Caenorhabditis elegans: one gene and its partners. The protein of the gene in region 2 purifies or fractionates together with the protein of the main gene of each other region. This does not show direct contact. Each region holds a gene or a part of one and is shown on either strand. Other genes may lie near its edges.

Region 1 (5,587 bases), on a different chromosome or scaffold from region 2:
ACTTGACGATCTATTTCTTTATTTTATCAAAAAATTCGATGATAATAATTTGGGAGCTGATGTGAATATTATCCTAACAGCTGATCATGGACATGCAGAAATTAAAGGTAATAATTTAAAATAGTTGAAATTAAAATCTTCATAATTCCTAAAACTAAATTCAGATCACAAACATGTCATGTGCGTGAAAGATTATGTATCTGGCGCTGGATTCGAAATGGGTGATCATATGATTTATCCACACTCGGATGAAATTGGAAAACAAATTTATGCAAATTTAACATCAGCAGTGAAAGAGCATGGATATGATGTGAATATTCATTGGAGAGAGGAAGTTCCAGAAAGATGGCATTATCGAAACAGTTCGCGAATTGGAAAAATCGTTTTCGAGCCGCAAATCGGTTCTTCGATTTCGTTTTCGTGTACGAAGGATCTTATGGAAAAGTATGTGGTTTACAACCGGGCTGTGCGGCAAATTTTTCTGGCAAACGTAAACAATAGTAATGCAGAAACAGGTGCATTCTATCTGAAAATAATATTTAGCTTTGTTGAATAATTGGAAAAAAAACCTTAAATATTGCCCGAATGTTGTCATTTGCAGAATAACTTTTAACGGCACTATTTGAGACCTTTGTCAAGTTTTTCAACAAAAACAAATATCATTTTTAGATGGAATGGGACATTTTTTCTTGAATTATCATATTAAAAAAAGGCAGTTTGATCCGTTTACCGGAAAAAATATTACAACGATTAGTTTATTGAAATCAACTTTCAGGCAATATGGAGAAAACGGAACATTAAAATTCAATTCATCAACTCACGGACAAGATCCTGATCGTCCAGAGATGAGAGCTTTCCTTATTATGAGAGGCCCAGCGTTTTCTGAAAATTATACGGTATAAGCTAGGCATTTTGAGAACTGTATGATAAATATTCTTTCAGATTGCCGATATTCCTTCAAATGTGGATTTGTACAATATAATGTGTCATGTGCTTGGTATCACACCAACTGAAAATAATGGAACCATGGAAATTGTGAAACGAGCTTTAAAAGAGAACAGATATTTACCAATGACACATGGTTTCGTATTTAATCAGATTACGGTAGGTTATTCCACAGAGTATTTGACTCAATTCTAAAGCTTATCAAAAGCACATAATTTTTCTTCAGGATTCATGGAGTTTTTCGCTTATTTTAATTCCTTCAATGTGTATTGTTATAATATTCTTCGCTTATGGATGTAAGAATACCGTACTCAAATCTGATCCCAATTGGGGAAGATCCGATACAGTTCAAGGATATCGGCCATTGAGTAACCGGACGAACGAAGGATTCGAATTAAATGATGATGAGGATGAGGATGAAGGAGATGGATTAAGGAATTCGATAGATTTAGAAAGAGGTGGAAGAAGGAGTCAAGCAGGAGGTGGTGCACTTGGAAGTGTGAGTTTTATATTGAAATAATCGGAAAATCAAATATCGCTCGAAATTATTTTAAAGAAAAAATAAATAAAAAATTACCCGAAATGTTCTCAAAAATGTGTAGATTTTCAGCTGAACAATGGAACGGTAGCAATGTCTGGACTACTGGATGAAATGAGCGATGATGATATTTGATCTTTTTAATATAACTTTTTGCATTCAAATTGTAAATATTTCTTGTGACCTCTTTATATATTTCCCCCATTGTGCCTTCGATTTCTCTTTAATTTCTGCAGAATATTCAAATCACAAAGCAAAATATTTATCTCTTTATTTGTCCTAGTCATCCTTTCATCTCTTTTTGATTTTTTTCCCCGGTTGTGGATTTTCAGGATTTTCAAAATCATCCAAAGACAGTTTATCAATTTTCAATGTGATATATTTTCAAAAAAGATTACTTAACTTTAATAATGAATGTTTCTCATATTTTTTACTTCTTAATTATAATTTTATTTTCTTTGGTTTTCATTTAGCCTCATGTTTTATTTCGAGTATTTAAAATGATTATTTTTCTAGTTTCTATAGTTTCAGGCCATGTCCGCTCCAAATGAGCCACAATCTTTCACGGATCCAGCGTACTGGAAGAACTTCTTTGCAAAACGAAAATCTCCATTCGAATGGTAATTAAATAATTATATTTCTTTGTTAAAATATGATGTCTTTCAAACAAAATTAAAAGAAAATTATCACATCACTATCAAGTGTTTTTCAGATTTGTCAAAGAAAAATTATCAATGTTTCGAAAAATAACTTAAAATATTGACCATTTTTCTTCTTTTTAGATAGAAATTTTTCCTCATCAACATACACAAAAATTGAATGCTTTCGATTCTCATGTAAAAATTTGAATTCTTTCAGGTACGGTGACTATAATTCTTTATCAAATGTAATTGATAAATATTTGAAACCGAAAGACACGTTCCTTCAACTTGGATGTGGTAATTCGGAATTAGCGACCCAACTCTACGATAATGGATTTCATTGCATTCACAGTATTGATGTAGAACCATCTGTTATTGCCACACAGATTCGTAAAAATAAAGAACGACTCGGAATGACTTTTGAGACTGGAGATGCTGCTAATGTGAGTTTGGAGAATGTCCCGTTGTGCACAATGAACAATTAAAAGAAAAGAAATTCGAAAATAATATGTTATAGCTATCCATGGCCGATGAAGCACATACCATTGTAATTGATAAAGGAACTCTCGACGCTCTTCTTCCACCATCAGCTTCAGAATCCGATGAAGCATTGGTTACAAAGATGTTCGAGGAAGTTCATCGTGTATTGGCTTCTGGTGGAAGATATATCATTGTCACATTGGCTCAACCACATATCACCGAGTTCTGGATTAATCACTTCTATCCATTGTAAAATATTCATTTTTCTCAAAAATCTGTAAAACGTTATTCCAGAAAGCAATATATCCTACGTGTTCAAAAAGTTGAGAACAAGGCTTCTGGATTCCCAATGCCAGTTTTCTGCTTTATTGCCACGAAAATGCGAGCACCAATGCCAAATCCATTGGTAGGTAGATAAATTGCAAATTATTTTATTTAAATAAAACCTATATTTTTAGCCTCTAGAAGTTCTTCGCTCCAGCTCCATCCGTACTGATCGTATCGATAGCACTGACGAATTGAAGGATTCTATTCGTGGAGAACAGGAGCTCTCACAATTCATCTACCTGTGCTCGAAGTAATTCATTTTAGTTTTTCCCTTGAAATTAATGAAATTAATTTAGAAAGCTGGACTCTGAAGTTTCAATCGACTTTCATGGAGCAGATCCATCATTAGGACCACGTTATCGTATCTGTGTTGTTGATAATCCAGAAGCCAAGAAGATTGACACATTCGCCGCATTTGTGGTTCCAATTGGACGGTTTGTATAGAAAACATTTTTAAATTCGAATTCTTATATTAATTTCAGTGATTCTGAATGGCTATTCGCCTCACCAAAGGGACGAAAAGCTCTTCGTGTTCAATGTGGCCGCGAACGTCTCGCAATCGTTTTCCTCAACAGAAATCAAAAATATGAAAAAGGAATGGACGGTGTGAAGAGTGATATTGGACATTTTGTTGGAATGCTGGATGTTAGACAAGATAATACTGGAAATGTATGTAGAATTGAACACGAAACATATGAAAACCCGATTTTCAGTACGAAATTCTATCCATCGGAGGAGTCGATGTTAAGCGAACCGTTTCAACGGGACGTTCGGATATCAATGGTGGTTGGAGTGTTGAAGAAGTTACTGTTGAAGGAAATCAAACTAGAAGACTAGTTTTTCTGAATACGATGAATCTGGTACAATCTGAAGCTTATCTGAAAAGTTAGTAGTTGAAAATTTCATTTTTCAACCCCCTTTAAAGAGTAAAATGGATTTATTACAACTGAAAAATCAATGAAAACTGAGCAGCAACGAGATTTGAAAATTGCAGTATTGTTTAAAGGCGCACATCCTTCTGTATTATTTTCGGTGGAAAAAGAATAACATTTCCCATCTTGTTAATACACGAGAGGTAGTTTATCAGAATTAAAAAAGAACGGTTTAATGATGCTCACCTCAAAATTTAAAATTAACATTACAGCCGGAAAGAAGAAGCAAACGGTCATAGATCTCGATCAATTGGCATGCGATTTCCATAGAATGATGATCGGATCCCTAGCCATCAGTCCGCAACAACCATTAGCCAAGAATGATGCTCAGTGTAAGATGGCTGTTCTTGGATTAGGTGGTGGACTTTTGACTGCATATCTTGTCAGACATTTCAAAAAGGTATCAATCAAGTCTAGAAACTTAACAGTGCTAAATTTTCGTTTCAGGCTCATGTAACCGCTGTGGAACTTGATCCAGAAGTACTCAAAATCGCAAATTCTCACTTCTCGTTCCCCCATTCGGACGCTAGAATTGACGTTGTCATCCAAGATGCTCTTATTCATCTCCAGGAGACTGCAAAGAAACCTGAAGGTATTTAAAATATCATGTTCAAATTTTATTTTACAAATCAATTCTTATTTCCAGAAGAGAAATACGATGTGATTTTTGTGGATGTTTCTGGAAGTCAGAACGCTGCTCTTCAATGCCCACCATCCGCCTTCCTTACCCCAGAAGCTCTAGGAAATATGAAAAACTCGGTGAAAGAACAAGGAATGATTAGTTTGAATTTGGTTACACGCGATTCGGAATTCGGAAAGTCGATTAAAAAGAATATCGCAGAGTATTTCCCAACTCTCTACACAGTTCTGTCCTTCGAAGATGTTAATGAGGTAAACTAAATTAATTATTGAAATTCTACTAGCAAATATATTTCTTTCAGATTATCATCGGTCTCAAAACACCCAAGAACACAATAAAACCAGTGGTTCCTCAGAAATTAATCAACACAGTTCGCAAAGATATTGGAAGCTATGATGAGGTTGTCGGTGCTATCTCAAACATTCGTATGGTTGATTATTAATTGCACAATTTCGTTTGTTATCTTGTTTATTTTCAGTAATTTTTTATTATATGTATTCGATTGTTCCCAGTTATTCAAATTTTCCCCCGTTTGTTGTTTCGTTTGTTCACCTGATGAATTTTGTTTTACACTTTGCAAACATGTCTAATGTTCTCACGGTGCAGTGAAAAACAACTTTGCAGGAAAAACAACTATTAACAGCATATTCGATATCTCGACGCGATCCTACTGTACTTCCGATGTAGACTATTTGGAATTCCACTAGGAAGTTGTGCAAATTATCTGTATTTGATTATGCGGCCAAAACTATTCTATAATAACTTTGGAACTAAAAAATATTTTCCGTCACAAAATATGAAACTTTTAATTTTTGATCGTCAGTTTTTCTACAAAATAGTATTCATTTTGGTAGTGATCTGTACTGCAGAAATAGATTAATCTCTAAAAAAGTTCAGACAACGAGTAATTTCTATCAAACTGTGTTTTTTAATCTTTTAATTTTTATTTCCGCCTCTCACCGTGCGGTTATAAAATTCATAAGTTCACTTGTGCGGCCATCATGGTTCAAGTTAGTACTGTACTTTCTCTATTTCTATTGCTAATATGTCTAGTTGATTCCAGTTCTGAACCAAAACGTACAAT
Region 2 (3,430 bases):
TAAAAAATTTATCTACGGAGATATGAGCTACCAAAGTGAAATTCGAAAATTGCTTCGTTAGATCGTTAAAGTTCTTCCTTACAGTGCTATTTTAAGATCTTTGAGAGCCCGCCGTGAGCTTGGTTCTGGAGTTTTGCCGCTAAAAATTCACGAGCAACCGTTTTAAGACATGCACTATCGAATGGCATTGGTCTCATATGCAAGTCCGATGGGCAGCTTCTGACGGTTCCCTAGTCAGCCGTGACTCCAGTTTATCTGAGAGGGTATAGGATAGAATATATTCAATATTACCCGCGTGGAAGGCTTGTTGAACTCAACGTAATTTGAAAAAAAGAAATCATTTGTTCAAAATAATTAAATCTGAAAATTAACATACGAAGATGTTTTTGCACTTTTTAAGTTGCATTGACACCTAACGATAATATGCATTTAATCGCTTTTTACGCATTAATATCAATGTGTTTAACTTTCGTGACTTTTAGACTTTTTCTCTCCTTCAAGAAAATTCTTCTGCCGGCAAAATGATAACAGATGATAACAATTTTATTTGGGAAGAGATCATAAAACCGATAATAAGTTTAATAAATTAGTTTCCGACAAATCCTCCGACAACAATCTTTTCACCATCTGCCATATTGACTTCAGTCTTTGGAGCAGCAGCTGGAATTCCAACAGCATACACGTCACGATTCACAACCAAATTACAAACTGTTTCAACTTGAGCATACTGCTTCACTGAAGCCTTCTTGAATGGGCCGAAAGCACGGAAATCAGCAAAAGTTGGCTTTGTCTCTCCAGAAGTACCACCTCCAAGAACATTCCAATACCAGAGCATGACATTAGAATTGATATTCGCCGAATTTCCAGTAATCTGGCTCCAGTCATATTGGTTTGTGTAAATTCCAACAGAGAGACCATATTGTTGAGCACGGGAAATTATGCTGTTGATAAAGTTGACGTTGGCAGTTGGATTGTTTGGCCAGTTGGCAGGGGAAGTAACCTGGAAAATTTGTAGTTTAGGGAAATAATTATTTAAATATTATGTTCGATTTTCTGAAAGATAAGAAATACACAAACTCGTGAATGCTTGTGAATTGAGAGGAAGTAATGATAAAATACTTTTGAGAAAATTCATAAATAGAGGAGCAACTCTCTATGAAACTGAAACTATAGTAGTACCAGCCTCAAAATGAACTTGAGGGAAATTCTAAATTTAAACTGTGTCTGAACTACTAACCTGAATCCAGACTGATCGGATAGTGATTCCATTATTGTTGAGTCCGTTATAAAGAAGATCAAGTTGTTGGTATCCTTGCCAGCTTGATATTGGCTGAGGAGTCATGTATGTCTCAATTCCCAATCCAGCTGAATAAGCATTTCTGATATTTCCAACACAATTTGAATCAAAAGCTCCATTTCCAGTTGGAACAAATCCACGGAGGAATACAACTTGATATTTTGCTTTCTTCAAACAATTCATTACTTGGACATTTGTTGGAAAGGAAAAATCGACAGCATTTCCCATTGAAGCGTCATTGTTAACAATTACTGGAGCTTCATTTGCTTCGGTATTTGCAATCGCAGCTTGGTTCGAGTCGATTTCTTGTGGTCTCGCAGAAGAGAGAACAAATAGGATAGTAAAAGAAACTAGAAGCTTGATCATTTTACTGATCTATTTCAGTGAAGATAAAAATTGTGGTTTTCCTATCAGTTTATATACAAGACGATGAGCTCTTTTCAGTGCACAAAATGACGAATCTCTCTGAAATAAGATGGGTTTCTTAGTCAGTTGAAAATGTCAACAGTGGTTTGGCTTCATTTTCTGAATTAATGAATGATAATTGATAAGAAGGCAAGAATACCAGTGCAGACTCTCTGTTGTCAATTAAAGTGATGTGATGAAAAAGAGGCCAAAGATAGAGAAAGAAACTTTCTACATGTTCCTTTACACAACATCGTCAGTGAGGATATTTCTCGAAGTTTTAGAACAAAGAGAACAACAGAGAGATGCTTTTTGAAATTCGGGTTTAAAAATGAGAAATTGTAAATAAATTTCAATGGATCCCCAAATTATACGAAATCTAGTGATCCCACCTCAAATGTTGTATTCAGAAAATTTGAAAGTGATTTCAAAAAATTAGTTTCCAGCCGCTGCAACATGGATAAGTTGGACAAATTTCAAATGTTAACTATTTGTAGGTAATTTTTGTTTTCAATATAAAGTTGCATTATGAAATTCGGTGTTTTCAGACAATTTCGAGTCTAATAAAGCAATAAAAATTTCGGCGACACCATTATTAATAACAAGTGTATTTTTGTGTGTTGATAATTTTATCGTTAAAAAGGTTATCGACAATCACATCGGAAATATTTATTTTGTATTATGCTTTCTGGTATCAAAGATTTAGTCGACAATTCTCATTCCTTGGATTCTCAAAATCCGATTCCACCAACACGAATCAATTTCTTCTCCGAACTCGAATTTTCTTGATGAGTTGAGAAGTGTACAATTTGAGACAAGTGTTGGTTTCCGGTGGAATACACATTTCGGTTTACAATCATTCCACAAAGTTTTTCAACTTGTCCAAATTGTTTCACAGTGGCCTGTCTCCATGGTCCAAATGGACGGAAATCTTCAAGAGTTGGAGTAGTTTCACCATCAGTACCCATACTCAGAACATGCCAGTACCACAAGAAAACATCAGAACTAAACGTGTTCCAGCCTCCTGTGATTTCCAACCAATCATAAAATGAAGTGTAGATTCCAACTGACAAGCCCAGATTCTGAAAGTAATAAAGTGAATAAGAAGTTGTTCTTTGTGATCATGATCCATGCTTCGAAAATTAAAACTTCTAAACAGTGTGAGTCAGAAAATGTACATTCCGCTTCAGCAAACAATATTCGTGTATGTGATCAACTTAAATATAATCGTCCTATAAACGTCTCAGGCGTGCCCCACGTTCAGAGGCGAATTTCGCGGAAATTGTTTTACTGTTGTTTTCCATGCATCAGGAGCTTCAGTTTGTCTCGCTAATGTTTGGTAACATACCTTCGCACTTCTAATCATATCTTGGATAAACTCAATTCTCACAGCCATTGGTGCAACCCAATTTGTTGGAGAAGTTACTTGAATCCAGATAGATCTAACATTAATTCCATTAGCAAGCAAATTCTGGTAGACCAGACTAATTTGGTCTGCTCCAGACCTTGTTGAGTTGATGTTTGGAGTGATGTAAACTTCACTTCCAAGTCCAGCTGAAAAAAAAACAAAATGATAATAATAGGATTATTTTGTTTATTTAGTCAATCTTACCTTCAAATGCATTGTTGATTGTATTCAAGGCATTTCGATCAAAATAAGTATTTCCAATTGGATTCAAAGCTCTGACAAATACAGATTTATAACCTTGATCTCTCAAACAATCCATG
Region 3 (3,550 bases), on a different chromosome or scaffold from region 2:
AGAAGTCCAGTTCCAGTACCTGTAAATAGTAAACTTTAAAAACCGAATAAGTTGAAAACTTAACAGCTAACCAATATCTAAAACATGAACTTTCCCATCTGTATTTTCATGTTTTTTCTCAGCAATCGTAGTTTTTAATCCTGCGAGGAACTTGTCATTTCTATCAAAATCCAGAATCATATCTCCAAATCGACTTCTGAAAATTAACGTTTTAAAGCAAGAAAATGCGAGAAGTATTGTTTATTAAATTTTATTTCTATGCGGAATATTTTTTTAAAGTTGAAAACCTGGCAAGTTCCTGAGCCATATCATAATCCTCTTCAGCCACAACCCATTCTCGTTCGCCGGTTTTTTGATTTATCTTCTCAAGGAACATTTTTCAGAAAACCCTGCAAATTGTCTATCTTAAAGATATGCTCGTTTTAATGATACACTCAAGATATTTGCGATATGCACACAACTGCCAATTTACCACTTTAAAATCCAAAGAAACGAAATCAAGGAACGGAAGACTTATTTTTCATATTTGTTCAAATAAAAGGGGTTCATGCAATAAAAATAGTGCAATCAATTGGGAAATTGGGAAACTATACACAAAAATGTAAAAATAAATATGAAATAAACAGGAGCCAGAAAATGGAAATCAATGGGAAAGAAGTGGTGATGGGGACAAAGTACACAATTTCGAAAAATACCGCATTTTGGTGGAGGGATGGAAACAATATTTTGATGGGCCGAGATTAAATTGGAAAAAAGCTTCTAAAAACTCACTTTTTGAAAACTAAATATCTCAAAAGATCAGAAAGCGTTACTCATTTTTTGTTATGTAAAAATATGATAAGAAAACATTATCATTTTTTAAAAGTTTCCTTCTGTTTATTGAAACAGACAGCGTTAAAACTATAACTCTGGGTATTTTGAGATTTTTCTCGTGAGCGGAGAATTTAGAAACATTTTAAAATTTAAGCGGTACGAATTTTGCCAGGCACGTAGTTTTTGTCAATAGTTGGCTCCTGGAGGAAAATATGGAGAGAGCGTTCGTTTTGAGCAAGTGGATGTCCAGCAACCCTGCAAGAACATATTATTAAAACTTTTAGAAATGTGAAAATTTTCTGAGTTCATTTTGATGTCCGTATAGTTGAACAGTTTTACGTACTTATTGATGAATAACTCGAGAGCTTTGCGCCTATTTTCAATGAATTCCTCTTCAAAAATTCCATCATCGGATCGGAATGGCAGTTGCCGTTTGAATGATTTTCCTGGCAACGTTGGAACCACAATCTTGCTATCTCGCTCTAGTTCAGCACGAACCCATTCGAAATCACTGTATCGGCGACGCACGCTTGATTCTTTCTGCTTGAAAACGGGGAGATTCGACTGAAACAACGATTTTATTATGCGGTCAGTGTTAATCTATACTTACTCTCATTCTGATTTCGTAATCCGTGTAGCGCATTTTTCCAACACCATGAGTGATAGGATTGATAACCTGCAAGTTATCTTGATCTAATTCATTGATTTTTATTCAAACCTCAATTTCAAGGAAGTTGGCCGGCGGGGCATATGCCTCGTCCAGCGTTTGCCGTTTTGAAGGGATCCGCTGAGTTGCCGACGCGCCGGATGCCATTTGCACTGCAAATATTCTAAATTATATCAAAGTTGCTTTGAATTGTTTATTTAAGTATCGATTTTCACAATATAAACAAAATAAAAGTGAAATTTATGTTGGAATCCAAAGCTTTAATCGACAACATGCGAGAACATCGTTTGCTTTTTGTTTCGCTGTTCGGCAAACTAAAATGGAAAAAATAATATGAAGCTGTGAAAAATCAATAAATAAAACTGGAATTTCAAGGAAATTACGGCAAAAATGACTCATCGCGCGCCGATAAACAAAACGAATCAAGAAATGAAAAAAGTGGCAAAAGTACGCAAACACTTTTGTGTTAATGCACACAAAAAATTCAACCGTACCTCAAACTGAAATTTCAAAAGCAGACACCGCAGATTCATGGAATGAAAAAGCAGTGACTCGCTATGACTCAAAATTTTAAAAAGATTATAATTGATTCAAAAGCAAAAAAATGTTTCACAACAAATCTATGTTGTAAAATAATTGTTAAATTGAAAATTAATAGCTGACACCGCCCTGTGTCCGTGTTTCGTCTTCTTCGAAACTTTGTTTTCGTTCAAGATGGCGCGGCGCCGTTCTTTTTGAATAAAAAGAGCATTTTAAAAATTTTGTTGAATTTCTGTAAATTCTACTTGTTTATTCAGTTGTTCTGCGAAATTAAAGATTTTCTTAGTTTTCAGGAATGCCAAAAAAAACGTTCGAAAATTTAGAAGATAGTCATGGAAAAGATGTTAATATCCCAGTTGAACTGCCAAAAAGGAAACGAGAAGTTACACCGGAAAATTTGTGAGCTTTTATAAAAAATTCAAATTTTAACACATACCGTATTCCCTCTATTAGTCTTGCATGCAAGACTAATAGAGGAAATACGGTAATAGTCATGCACCCCTATTCTTGCCAGGCCAGCAGTATTTTGTCAAAACTTCAAAATTTTCGCCATTTTTTAGCTAAATTAAATTTTAAACTGTTCAAGTAATTGATAAAACAATAGAAAAGCATGTATTTTGCATGATTTAGACTGTTTCAAGTCAAAATTTTGACGATAAATGGCCAATTTAACAAAGCTATTGGATCTTCGAAAATTAGTCTTGTAGCCTCTAATAGTCTTGCAGTCCCTATTAGTCTTGCACCCCTACGGGTCTATTGAAAATTAGTCTTGCATGCAAGACTAATAGAGGAAATGCGGTATATTATTTTCAGACCTTCCACAAGCTCTACTGCTCCAACACAAAAACGGAAAAGTCTAGGATATTCAGGACGAACGGAGGAACCGAAAAATGTATTAATATTTTTAGTTGCAATGAAATACAATTCGGAACTTAATTGTAATTGTAATTTTTAATGTTTTTCAGATACACAAAACCTTCATTTCCCCTTTTTCTACGTCAGTTTCTCCTTCAAAACAAGGTCTTCGACGACGAAAGAAGGCACTGCCTGCCATAGAACCACCTGTATCTGTAGAAGAAGCAAGTCCATTACGTTTTGTGAATATCGATGTATTCTCTAGACGTATGGCTTCCGAATCATCAGATCACGATGCTATGATTGCGAAGTTGTTGTCGAGAAAGTTTTCAATTCCGATGGAGGGATATATGTGTAAGAAAACATGTAAAAATGTTTATTTTAAACGAGTTTTCAGTATCTGGTCGAAGCCTAGGTCTTGGTGGAAACCGTCGAAAATGTGCTCTATTTGATCCATATCATGAAGGTGCATTGATTCTTTATGCTCCTGAACATCTTAGTGAACACGCACAACTCAAGGAAGATAAGGATCGAAAGGTGAGAATTTTAGCTGCGAGAATCGAAAAAAAAACATGAATAAAAAAAACGACTCAAATATTGCAAAAATATGAATGTCCATTTTATCAAATTTTTCAGGTGCACGTGGTAGCCGATCCGGTTGTTGGAAAAATCCTG

The links. Proteins that work in one complex are often made in the same cells at the same time.
Region 1: the proteins of lys-2 (region 2) and metl-13 fractionate together in Caenorhabditis elegans (co-fractionation; one large-scale study listed by BioGRID). This does not show direct contact.
Region 3: the proteins of lys-2 (region 2) and snx-3 fractionate together in Caenorhabditis elegans (co-fractionation; one large-scale study listed by BioGRID). This does not show direct contact.

Annotation. Positions count from the first base shown.
Region 1 is NC_003282.8:6,633,075-6,638,661, forward strand, and holds metl-13 (Methyltransferase domain-containing protein), read left to right. Parts: upstream 1-2,014; 5' UTR 2,015-2,017; coding exon 2,018-2,103; intron 2,104-2,341; coding exon 2,342-2,567; intron 2,568-2,641; coding exon 2,642-2,853; intron 2,854-2,898; coding exon 2,899-3,010; intron 3,011-3,062; coding exon 3,063-3,181; intron 3,182-3,227; coding exon 3,228-3,365; intron 3,366-3,413; coding exon 3,414-3,600; intron 3,601-3,644; coding exon 3,645-3,816; intron 3,817-4,075; coding exon 4,076-4,263; intron 4,264-4,310; coding exon 4,311-4,455; intron 4,456-4,509; coding exon 4,510-4,754; intron 4,755-4,804; coding exon 4,805-4,945; 3' UTR 4,946-5,081; downstream 5,082-5,587. Other genes in the region: C01B10.9 (Bis(5'-adenosyl)-triphosphatase), read left to right, coding at 1-107, 165-444, 776-896, 943-1,104, 1,172-1,444, 1,556-1,618; C01B10.7 (TransThyretin-Related family domain), read left to right, coding at 5,505-5,587.
Region 2 is NC_003283.11:10,279,782-10,283,211, forward strand, and holds lys-2 (Lysozyme-like protein 2), read right to left. Parts: upstream 1,694-3,430; 5' UTR 1,664-1,693; coding exon 1,238-1,663; intron 1,001-1,237; coding exon 587-1,000; 3' UTR 526-586; downstream 1-525. Other genes in the region: lys-3 (Lysozyme-like protein 3), read right to left, coding at 2,434-2,784, 3,051-3,256, 3,315-3,430.
Region 3 is NC_003279.8:9,062,772-9,066,321, forward strand, and holds snx-3 (Sorting nexin-3), read right to left. Parts: upstream 1,633-3,550; 5' UTR 1,628-1,632; coding exon 1,532-1,627; intron 1,490-1,531; coding exon 1,424-1,489; intron 1,378-1,423; coding exon 1,157-1,377; intron 1,069-1,156; coding exon 963-1,068; 3' UTR 507-962; downstream 1-506. Other genes in the region: prmt-7 (Protein arginine N-methyltransferase 7), read right to left, coding at 1-19, 72-196, 288-376; rad-54.L (DNA repair and recombination protein RAD54-like), read left to right, coding at 2,316-2,419, 2,834-2,912, 2,986-3,229, 3,273-3,412, 3,512-3,550.